Linked DNA regions of Saccharomyces cerevisiae S288C. The gene in region 1 interacts genetically with each later gene. Each region holds a gene or a part of one and is shown on either strand. Other genes may lie near its edges. The genes, in order: DNF3 and ATG15.

Region 1 (7,629 bases):
TACTAATAATCGTGGTGGCTCACCGTTCATGCGTCAACAACCCCGCTCAAGACAGCAGCAACAACAAGCAGAAGAAAATGCAGTGAATTCGCAATTAAAAAATATGCTCGTTCTTTTCATCATCTTTATTGTTCTTCCTATGATTAAAGATTACCTGTTTAGTTAAACACAATATTTTTACTGTCATTTTTTTATTATTTTCCAACGTTAGTCAAAGTTGTACTATAAAATAAAACTACAAGGAGCAAGCAAAATTGAAAAAACGCATTTGTATACTAGATGACATTTAGGTCATTCCTTCAGGCTTCCTGGCTATGTTTTATTTTGTTCCACAGTTTACCAGAAGGACATAATGGTATTAGAATTTTAATATATCGAGGAAATTAAATCAGACAGTATAATACTTATAAACATCTTTATTTTCTGATAACTAATCATAGCATTTACGCCATACATTTACTTTTTCTTTTGACACCGAAAGTAATCAAGCCACTTTTATAATTAGAGTTAGTTTATAGATAGTATTTAAAATTTGTGAAGATTTCCCATGCGTTGTGCCTTGCTTTCTCTCAAAATACATCTTGTTAATTTTCTAATGTGTGGATGCCGAAATAATATTCGACTCAACAAATCAAGTAAGTCTTCTAAGCTCGCTACTAATTTCCAATAAAAGGTATATATATAAAAATGTTCTCAATAATGTAATTAAACAAGATCACGAGAATTACTCCAGATCCTTTAGCCTTGCCTGAATAATCTGGTTCACATCTTCATCTTCCACATTCCTCGATGGAAGCTTCAGTTTCTTCGTCAGTTTAGTAGTTATATTGCCGCCAATACTGTCTTTACTGCTTTGTGTTTTCAAGGATGGTCGCTTGATTAACTTGCCACTAGGTAATACCTCGTATCGTTCAGAGCTCTTTTTAGAAGAGTTTCCAAAGAAATTTTTTTTTGAGGAATGGTCTACATTCCCATTTGACATTGAATATATGCTGCTGTTATGAGTTTTTGCACTTGCACGTGAATTAGTTCTTGGCCTTGAAAGAACTTTGTCTGTGTACCTTGTGAAAGTACTGGGATCTTTATCCCACGTCCATCCTTGCCTCATTTCGCTATAGGCTCCTAGTTCCAGCTTCTTTCTGATATCACTTTTTTGTTCCAGCTCAGCAAAAATATCAGAATCTGATGGCCATATCATAACTTTGAATGTTTTGTAAACTATATCTAAAGTGATAGGTAACAGTGCCAACACCAAGCTAGTACACCAGAATGTAATGTCTTTACCAAAATGATTGTAAAAGCCATATGCTACATCATATATTTGGTCAGTATTATTCAAAATAGGAAGGGCACAACACCACACTAACCAACCTCCACAGGATAGAACTACAGAAGTAAAAGCCAGCCAATTCCTATTGTGCATTTCAACAAATTGGGATTTAACGTTAATTAAGGCAACAATGGCTGTGAAATTGATGAGACCTAGAGGATACATAGTGTTATCTGAAAGAGAACTCATACCCCACATTACAACATTTAAAAATGTAATGATAAGAGAATTCGTAGTTGCCAAGATAACCCACTCCATGAATATTAACCAATTAAAACCTTGTGAAAGGCGCCCGTACGAATATAATTCAGGGACTGTTAGTAGAGTCATTGGTTTCAAGTCTTTCTCAAACATACCAATACATAGAACCGGTAGTGATGTGAATAGAGTATTGAACATGGACAATGACCATGGCTCATATAGAGAGGAGCCTGAAAACATTGTATATCTTTGATATATCAACTGCGTAAAGTAAAACGTAATTTCTTTGTAAAACGTGCAAAGCATAAACTTGGAGGTGCGAATATAGTTATAACGCCCATGAACAAATAACAATTTCAAGAGAAACCGAAATTGGCCAATAGAATAATCAGATACTCTAGATGCTTGCAATCCCTCCTTACCGGCTATTCCAACACCTATATCGGCAGATTGTATCATGGCAATATCATTCGCACCATCACCTATTGCCAACGTGACTAAGTTTGGATCGGTATTTCTTATGTTGGAAACCATAAGGGCTTTTTGAGAAGGTGAAGCACGGCAACATATTACCGAGTCTGTTTTAGTGCAAAGCTCAACAAATACAGACATGTATGTAGGATTTCCTTCAAACATGGCCATCGTGGCACCGTCAATTACAACAACGCAGTGTGCTATGTTTCCGGAATCAACTTCTTGAGAAACCGCATTCATCTTTGATATAATATTTTCATCAGTAGTAGTTAAAATGACTACCGTAGAATAATCTTTGATTAACATACACGAATACCCTATATTTATAGCCGTTTCCCTTTTATCCCCTGTTAGCATCCACATTTTTATACCGGCTCTTCTGATCTTTTCTATAGCTTCTGAAACGCCGTCTTGTAACTTGTCTTCGATTGCAGTTACCCCTAACAGATTTAAACCATCCTCGATTTCTGCACCTGCCTCATCGACTTTGATTTTTCTATCAGTAAGGGAGGTTTTGGCTTGGTGATAGCGTTTATTCCAATTTTCATACTGCCCAATATCGATCCATTTGTAAGCATAGACCAGAGTTCTTAAGCCTTCAGTCGAAAACTCATCGATGGCTTGCAAAGTTCTTTCAATAACATACTCTTCATTCAAAATTAACTCATCGCTTCCAATGTGCTCCAAAATTTCTGTATCGTAATCATGCTGTAGTCCTTCTTTTCTTGTGTCTATTGGGACATTGTTGTTCGGAAAATGTGTTCCATCTATCGAAATTCGCGGCCCATATTTTTCTATTTGTTGCTTATGGAGTGACTTCCTGCTTTTATTTACAACGCTGCCAATCTCCTGATCAGATTTCTTGACCGTTTCTAGAAATTGATCAATGGAGTCAATTTGTTTCTCTGGATCACGGGTCCTGCTGTTCTTCATTGAAAGACTTTTTCTCACTGCCTGCAATGATAAACTTGCTCTCGGTACGCTAGACAAAGAATTTCTCAATGAGGTCCTGGCCATAGCCTCTTCATCTACCATTCTTTCCAGAGACTTTCTTTGCTGGAGAACCAGCTCTGCTTCTGCGTCTTTACGTTCTTTGGTACTGGTGCATATGTCTGCCATTTTTTTGGCAGCCAATTCGCGATCATGTAAACGCTCCATAATAACGTTATCAGCACCTTTGCAAATTAAAAGAACTTGATTTGGTTGATTTGGCATACGTACAAGAACAGACATTCTCTTTCTTTGAGAATTGAAGTCAATATAGTTCAAAATTTCATAATTTTCCAATTTTGCTTCACCGTCAAAACCGTCTGGAAAAGTTTTAATGGTCAAAATCTGTGCATTTCTATTCAATACAATATAACCAAGGTCTCTAGCAGCGGTTACTAGTGCTAATTCATCTGGAGATGAAGACTGATACTCTATGGAGTCTTCTCCTATTGATTCGTTATGAGTTTTTTTGGGAAGACAGCTATGACAAAGAGCTAATGATAAGAAGAAAAATTTAGCCTTTTGAGAAAACAGGGCGGTCGGATATCTTTGAATAAACTGAATTAAATCAAACGAACTTTTAATGTTCTCCGAAAATGTCTCGGAGGGTGAAATAACCGAAGCTTGTTTACTTAGATGTGAATTATCTTTCCCAAAAAGTGATCTCATACTGGGACGGCCTGTATAAATTGCTGATGAATTTCCCTTATATTCAATAGAATTCCTAGATTTAGGAAAGTTGTCCAAAGATGGACGATGCCCTTTTTCAATTGGTGCGTCCGAAAATCCTAACCGATCAAGAACATTTTGATCTCCAATGGAAACAACGTCTATACTAGAGCCGTTGTGAGCTTTTGGTGGTAGTCTCAAGGAGTTCGTATTGTCTCTGTTGTCTTCAAAGTTATCCTCAGAATTACCGAGATCTACATTATGCAGCCAAGATGATCCACATAAAGAAAATTTCCGAAATATCATCTTATTATCCGTCAGCGTTCCGGTTTTATCACTAAAAATATAAGATACTTGCCCCAATTCCTCCAGAATGGTGGCAGTTCTCGATTCGCATGGCGTGTTCGTTTCTGCATGGTACATGTCTATGTCCCATTCCATCATTTTACTTTGGACTACCTTGATAATTTCCATTGTTACATATAGGGACAAAGGAATCACAGTGTTATACATGATGATAAAAGACATTATTGTGGGTGCTACGCCAGCATCTGCCTGAAATAGATACCATGCTTTGTTCTGGTCGATATATTTTTTCTTATGCAAAACATGGCCAAGATAAGAAAATAAAGATATTGTGGCAACGACAAACACCATAAACACGATAATCATATTTATCTTCCTTTGTAGCTTAGGGGCTTTCGTTCTTGGGTTTTTTAAAGCATTCATTCTGATTTTTGTTTCCTCACCACTGAAAATGACCATACCAACAACATTTTGAGTATTCCTCAAAATACTACCACGATAAATGACATTATCAGGACCTAGAGGGTATTTCATTATGGTATCATTGCGATGGTTTTTCAATTCAAGATTACCTTCAAAATTATATAAATCAATATTGGGATCTTCCACGGTAACTTGAGCATTAATATTTGCAAGACCTGATGCGGCTTTGGTTAACTTATTTAATTCTGGATGGGGTTGTTTACTTTTCAAATTTGTTTCGCCATCTAAAGCCATCGTTTCAACGAAACATTCGCTATTTTCGCCGTCACATGTCAATAAAAGCAGATCTGCAGGTACCCAATCATCTTGTGTGAGAAGTACGAAGTCTCCAACACGAAGTTTTTCCCACTTCTTTTGATGAATATGAACATTGTATTTATTCTTGAGTAGTTCAAAGTTATTGAAGTGCGTGTCTAAGAAGTGTCCTTGAGAGGAGTTCCGATCATCGTTTAAAGGTGGATTATTTTCAGCAGCGGCCGATTTAGTTAGATATGCAGTGGATGAGACAACACTACTTGGTAGTGTATAAACTTCTTGTGCGTCATTATTTCCATCTTTAACCAACACTCCCACTGGTTTATTGTTCTCTTCCTTATCTAAACGATGTCTCCTGAAATCGTCCCAAGCCTCTCTTGTCATGGATATACCCATAAATACACATAAGGGGATAATAGTTGTATAAGTACCAGTTGTAGACCATCCAGGTATCATTTGTAATACTGCGACAATGAAAAAATAAGTATTGGCTAACTTTGAAAATTGTGCATACAACTGTCTAGGCAAAAAGGAATAGAATGTATATCTTGATGAAGTTATTCGGTTGTCGCAGTAAGGCTTGTTGAACCTTTCGTCTATCAAATGACCATCCCTTTTAGTAGCAGCTTGTTTGTATTCAATTGCATTATGATCTAATATAATCGGAATATGTCTACCGTCTTTCGAATGGAACGTCCTCCTTCGATCTAGGATAGTATCAAGTATTTTAGTGATAATGCTATATGACACATCAGGACTACCATACTCTTCCATTTCATAATCCTCTTCAGCAGCATAATTGCCGCTTGTTTCATCTCTGTCATCTTTATCGTTATTATCGCTACCGGAGAACGTCTTACTCTCATTTATATCTTCTAACTCTATCTCATCATCAGTTCTTCCGCGATATTTATCATACAAATGCTTGTTGAACATCTGCGTTCGTAGTGATGAAGATCTTCTTCTTTGCCCATCAGCTATGCCCATAATATTTTTTTCTTTTTAATAAAGAATGGAATTAAATTATCTACTTCAATTAGGATGTTTATTTGCTGTATGGAAGCTATGTGTATATAACGATAAAGGTCAAATAAAAGAAATAACAAAAAAGAAAAGAGTGAATGAATAGTCCAAAAGCAATGGGGTAATTTGGCACTTGATCTTTTCTCAAGACTTCCTGCAATATTGAATTCTTCTTTGTTAAATATTCGCTTACTTAAAGCACTTGACAGACTGGGGTCGAAAATAACCCGGCTGCGCAGCCCGTCATTTGCTTATTTAGAAAATATGATTAAAGTGTAATTAGTTATTTCAAAGTACATATTAAAATATATTATCATGAATCATTTCCTAGTAATCCTTTTAATTCATACAAAAATGGGATAGTTTCTTCCGAAGATACTTTGCATTTGCTGAGAGGCCTGCTCTCAAGAAAGGCATCGTCTCTTAATGGTTTTTGAAAGCCAAACTTTACGGACATGGAAGCCTGAGCTTTTCTTAGCAATTCAAAGGACTTTGCAGTTCTTAGCCTTTCCCTGCCTTCACGGTTTTCTTGAGCCAATTTCAAAATTCTTTCATCTAACTTGCGTCGTAATTCGTTGTCAGAAAGTTGCTTGAAATCTGGTTTCCTACAACTATCCTTTCCGATAAAATCTACGCGGTGATTTTGGCGTGAACCGGCAGAACATTCCTCCTGACAGTCGTAGTCTTCATATTCCTCTAGTTCGGTGTCGTTTTCAAAAGAGTCATTCACCGATTCAGCAACATCAATGAAGTCAACTTTCCTCTCTAAGCTAAGACCTTGTACTGACGAAGAACGGGGTGACTTTCTGCCTTTGAGGATATCCAGATGGAAACCATGGTTGATTGTATTGGTTGGGGATACCTTTTGTATCCTAGAAATATTGCCACAAATTTTCGAGGTTTTCCAGAAAGTAATGAGCTCCTCCAACTTATCCTCAATGATGTTCCTATCATTCTCTGTTATGCCATTTCGAATGTCAATAGCTAATAGATTGTTCTCGATCATTTTTAAGTAATTAAGTGCCTGAAACAATTTATCATTCTTTGAAAATGAACATACATTTGCTCTTTCACAACCAGTATTAGTTGATGTTTCTTCAGGAAATGCATACAATATTTGCTTATGGTCATTCAAAGACACCAGGACAGTGGAGAGTAGTGAATGTAATCCTCTTAATAGACTAACTATATTTTGGAATGTACCTATTGGATTATATTTTTTTTTGAGTTGCACCCTTGCCATGTAATCTGGAAAGATTTTGTTTAGTGCGTTTCTCATGTTTACATTTGAAAGATTTTCGTTTCCTGTCATATCTAAAGACAGCAAACAACAGAGCATAAATTTCTTTAGCAGTTTGAGACGATAAAGCTTACCATCAAGGTCTTTTACTGTGGTAGTATTATTATAGTAAAGATTTGGTACATCGATACCGTATAATTCACAGTATTTCGATAGCTCACTTGTATCGCTAAAGATGACAATATCTGGAATGATTGATTTGAGTTTATAAAACAGTGCATCACTTGAGAATACTAGGAGCTCTTTTATCACAGATGAGTGCTCGTCAGCAATTGAAATAAGAGACACTCTTGATATAAAACTATGATTTTTTATTTCTTTAAATCGAAGATGATATTTATGAATCATTACATCCACTTGTTGTAATGATTCGAGCACTTTCCGTACCTTTAATAAGGTTTTATAGCAAATCAAATGTCTTCGAAAGTATTCTTGCTGAATTGATAAATACACTGCTACGAGTATTAAAATTACAACTCTCTTCAGACCTGGACTATTTTTTTTTCTACAGTATTTTTTCAACTGTGTAAGTACTCGATAAGAGGTTATAATCATCGAAAGGTAGTTGAAATTTTGTCTGAAATATAATTTTTTGTCC
Region 2 (4,102 bases), on another chromosome or scaffold:
TTAAGTAAAAGTTTTCGTCATCAAATTTGGGCCCATAGACGGTGAAAGGACCCACATCTGGGGCAACCACACCACCCTGGATATACTTGTTAGGGTAAACCTTGTTGATTTTGGTCTTACGGTACGAGTAAGTATGTATATCATTGGGATCTTTCCCTTCGATAACTGCCTTAACACCATGGGCCAGCATAGCAAAGTTGTTCACAGTTTTGGGCACGACAGTACCGTACAACTCAAAAGTCAGATCCGCCTCTTTCATCGACTTCGAAACGGGATCAAAGTATTCGATAGTGATTATTCCACGATGTGTGGCGGGGGGACTGGGCTCATATTTTTTCTGAAGATCAACATCCTTGGAGGTAATCTGCTTCCCTGATGAAGGTGCAGCGTGGACTTGGCAGAGTACTAAGGAGTACAGGCAGAGCAGCAAGGATTTCAACCACATGTTGTTGCTGAACTTATTCGAAAGTCTATCTATTTTCTTCGGTCTTCCAATCTACGAGTGTGTGAGTTTGCTAGAGAGCAATTGAAGCAAAGAATATGTGACCTATTAATTGCACCTGACTGACGCCTTTCACTTTAAAGCAGTATTAATATATCTTCTCGTGTCGTTTAGCTGAACCTTTAAGTTGTCAAAATGATACATTATTTATCAGACAATGGAAGAAAAAAAGGGCGCATAGGCCCTAAAACAACACTAGGGTCATAATAGATGTATGGGTCTTACAACTCGTATTTGGTGCAGAAGCCAAGCCAATTGCGGCCTACACAGGTAGATGAAGAGGTAGTAGTAGCAGTGGTGCGAGTCGTCGTGGTTGGTGCAGCGTGGCTTTTAGTCTTGGTAATGAGCCTCGATGAGGATTCCCAGTCTCTGCTTGGAATAAACTTCCAGTTGTAGCAATCTACGCAGGGCTCTGGTTCAACGCACTTGGCAGCCTGCTCGTATCCAAGGAGAACTTCGTCAATGACTTTGTGGATTCTGTGGTTGAACATGTTTACACTCCAGCCCTTGTCGTTGACCACATCGTAGACACAGACTCTACCAGTGTGGCACGCGGTTTCCATAGCGTAGCCCACCAGTGAGCAACTTGAACTAGCTCCGTTGCATGTACCCATGAAGATTGGGTCTGCGTTGTGACCGAAGTGCCAGATACCCTCCATGTATGAGGGAAGTCCCGGTGGGAATGGTAAGTGAAGTCTTTTTGAAGGTAGTAGCTCTCCAGGGGACTCGAATGCGACCGCAGGCAATCCAAAAGTGCGGCCCAGTAAACTGGCCAATGCGCCTCCCAGTGAGTGGCCTGTGACCCATATGGCCGCATCGGGGTATTCTTTGAGGACGCCTTTGTATATGTCAACGACTGCAGAGTAAAATCTATCCTTACGTCTCAGTTCCTTTTCCAGGCAAGACTCATCGCATATATACGACTTCACATAGCAATCGCACACGGTAGTCCACAGGTAGCTCACTCTTGCACAACAACACGAAAATAACAAATTATCGTTGATCTTGTCGTTTCCAGTTGTCTCATCTTCGCCAGACCCTGGCAAACCCTGAGCGCTGGTTCCCTTTATCGAGAGTACCACGATATTCTCCACTTCATTGTAAAAGACGTGACCACGTATACCATCACCATCCCAACCAAAATCTTCCGGCTCTGTTTCATTCCACGGCTCCGTGACGTTACGCCAGTCTCCCGTTTGCGGTATTCTCACGTAAGCATTAGACGACATTAATGCTAACGACACTACTGTACCTCTATCTGTGATATTGGGTGCCACAATGTCATCATCTATCCACATGGCGTGTTCTTCCTCCTCCGTCATGTATGTTTCTCCGTAAATGTACGACTCTATGAATTCAGGATCTCTTTCCTTCATCCGCTTCATCAATAGCGGCATCCTTCGTAGCTCAAACTCAAAATCGAATGGGTTAGTGGTGGCATATTCGGCATTAGTAGTCCATAGGGGTTCTTGGTCTTCGAAATCCTGTCCTTGAGTTGTGGTTTCTTGATACAGCATTCCAGCGGCAGAAATAACTTCTGGAGTGACCTCCAGCCTCTGGTGTAGCCGATGGTTTGCTCCGACGCCATGCCTGTAGATAGACTTAAGTCTAAAGGTTCCATCAGATTTTTGATCCATGGCACCCCTGGATGAGCTCTTCCCTACCGATAAATAATCCGGTAAAGCAAAGTAGTAAGCAATAAGGCAGAGCACTGTAAGCGTTAGAATGCATCCTAGATGCAAAGGAGAAGCAAATCTCTTTCTTGAAGGGCTTTTATGCAACATTCAATAGAATATTTCCCTTGTTTCCTTTAATTGTAATGCCTAGATCAGTTCTCAATCACGATAACAATTTTCTGAGCAGCGGCGTACTTTCTTTGACTTATCCAAAAGGTTGACACTGATTTGAGTGTCTCAAAAGCCTTTAAATGATAGAAACAAGGCTTTTAGGCTAGTCTTATGTAATAGAGAAAGTTCATCTATATCTACAGATTCTTATTATGTACTGTTGAACAAAGGTGCGGGTAACTGCGATCACACAATCACTTTTTTCCGGAAACGGCTGTCTTCAGCGAACAACAATATAGTAGAGATACTGTATTCAACTGGAAATGCTTTCCCTTTTGCCCTATCATTATTTTCTTTCCGATGTTATGCTTATTATATCTGTGATTGATAAGAGAAAAAAAAAAAAGTGACAGCTATAGAGAAAAAAAAAAACCCTTAGAGAATCCTACCTGGAATATATTTAATGAGCAAGTCTATCTGCTGCACATTGGTCACGACACATGTTAGTGTATATGGCCCAGCCTATGTATTTACGATTTAAATCACCTTGATAATTATTAAACGATATCCAGTTTATTTCGTATTATGTTACATCTGTCAAGCCCTTACTTAGCAATTTTGAGCCCTAGTATTTTTGACCACATTTGTAACTGCCCTATTTTATTATCCTTTTAGCCCTCCTGTCCTTTTTTCTTGGTTGTAGTAATTTTCATTTATATCTCGAGAATTGTACAGTGTAAATGAGAACTGTGAACGCTTCAAGTAACCTACGCTTATAGCTGCTTCGATCGACGGAGGCTGTTTGTCAACAAGCATCACAATTCCCTACGATACGTCCTCTCTTCCTTTTTTTTCTCTCCTTTTAAACTTAGAAAAACTAGCATAATAATGAGTGGCAACTCTGCAAACTATGACGTCGGATATCCGATATATGGTGCTAAATTTATAAATGAAGGCACTCTACTGGTGGCTGGTGGTGGAGGCCAGTTCAATTCCTCGTTTCCAAACAAAATTACAGCTTTAAAGGTGAACTTCCAGAAAAAGAAACACATTAGAAGGTTTCGTGAGATCACATTAGATTCGATTGACGATGCGCCCACTTCATTGGATTGTAATAATAACCTGATTCTAGTTGGTTGCAATGAACTGTTTAATGATTCCTCCATGGAGAACGTTAACCACCACTTGAGGAAGTTTGTGTTTGAACAAGAACATCTAAAATTCGTGGCCAGTATTGATTTCAACAGAACTACAGACCCATCCGTTTTCACTAAGTTTGTTTACATTAATCAAAGGGCCACAGTAGCTGCAATTGCGTCCTCTGAAGTGCCCACTGTGATAAGAATCATTGACCCGCGTAATTTGACGGAAAATTACGAAATTGAAACGGGTAGGGAAGTTAATGATTTGCACTTCGCCCCTAACGGTATTCTTTTGTCATATATCACTTCTAATTCTTTGGAAGTAGCGTCTGTTAGGGACGGAAATTTTGTAGCAAGGAAAACGGATTTTGATAAAAATCTTGTTCTTTCTAATATCAGGTTTCTCAATGACAATACGCTATTAGTGGCAGCATCATTATCGAACTCTGATGGAGTTTCCTTGTTAAAACTAGGTGTGAGTTCCAAAGGTGTTAAAATTTTAAAAACAGCATCCTTCATGTTCGATTTGAATGGAATAACATCGATGGATGTCTCCCCAAATAAGAAGTTCGTTGCATTATCATCTAACGATAACTTGGTTGCCATCGTCAGCGTTGAAAAGCTAAAGCTTGTTCAGTTGGTTCCAAGAGTACATGAATCTACTATAACAA

The links.
Region 2: mutations in DNF3 (region 1) and ATG15 together harm fitness more than expected from each alone (negative genetic interaction), as found in Saccharomyces cerevisiae (2 studies listed by BioGRID).

The regions. Positions count from the first base shown.
Region 1 is NC_001145.3:578,227-585,855, forward strand, and holds DNF3 (aminophospholipid-translocating P4-type ATPase DNF3), read right to left. Parts: upstream 5,696-7,629; coding exon 725-5,695; downstream 1-724. Other genes in the region: type I HSP40 co-chaperone HLJ1, read left to right, coding at 1-166; INP2 (Inp2p), read right to left, coding at 6,045-7,629. UniProt on the Saccharomyces cerevisiae protein: Catalytic component of a P4-ATPase flippase complex which catalyzes the hydrolysis of ATP coupled to the transport of phosphatidylcholine and small amounts of phosphatidylethanolamine from the lumen to the cytosolic leaflet of the trans-Golgi network and ensures the maintenance of asymmetric distribution of phospholipids.
Region 2 is NC_001135.5:235,398-239,499, reverse strand, and holds ATG15 (triglyceride lipase ATG15), read right to left. Parts: upstream 2,287-4,102; coding exon 724-2,286; downstream 1-723. Other genes in the region: peptidylprolyl isomerase family protein CPR4, read right to left, coding at 1-445; GTPase-activating protein SED4, read left to right, coding at 3,178-4,102. UniProt on the Saccharomyces cerevisiae protein: Lipase which is essential for lysis of subvacuolar cytoplasm to vacuole targeted bodies and intravacuolar autophagic bodies. Involved in the lysis of intravacuolar multivesicular body (MVB) vesicles.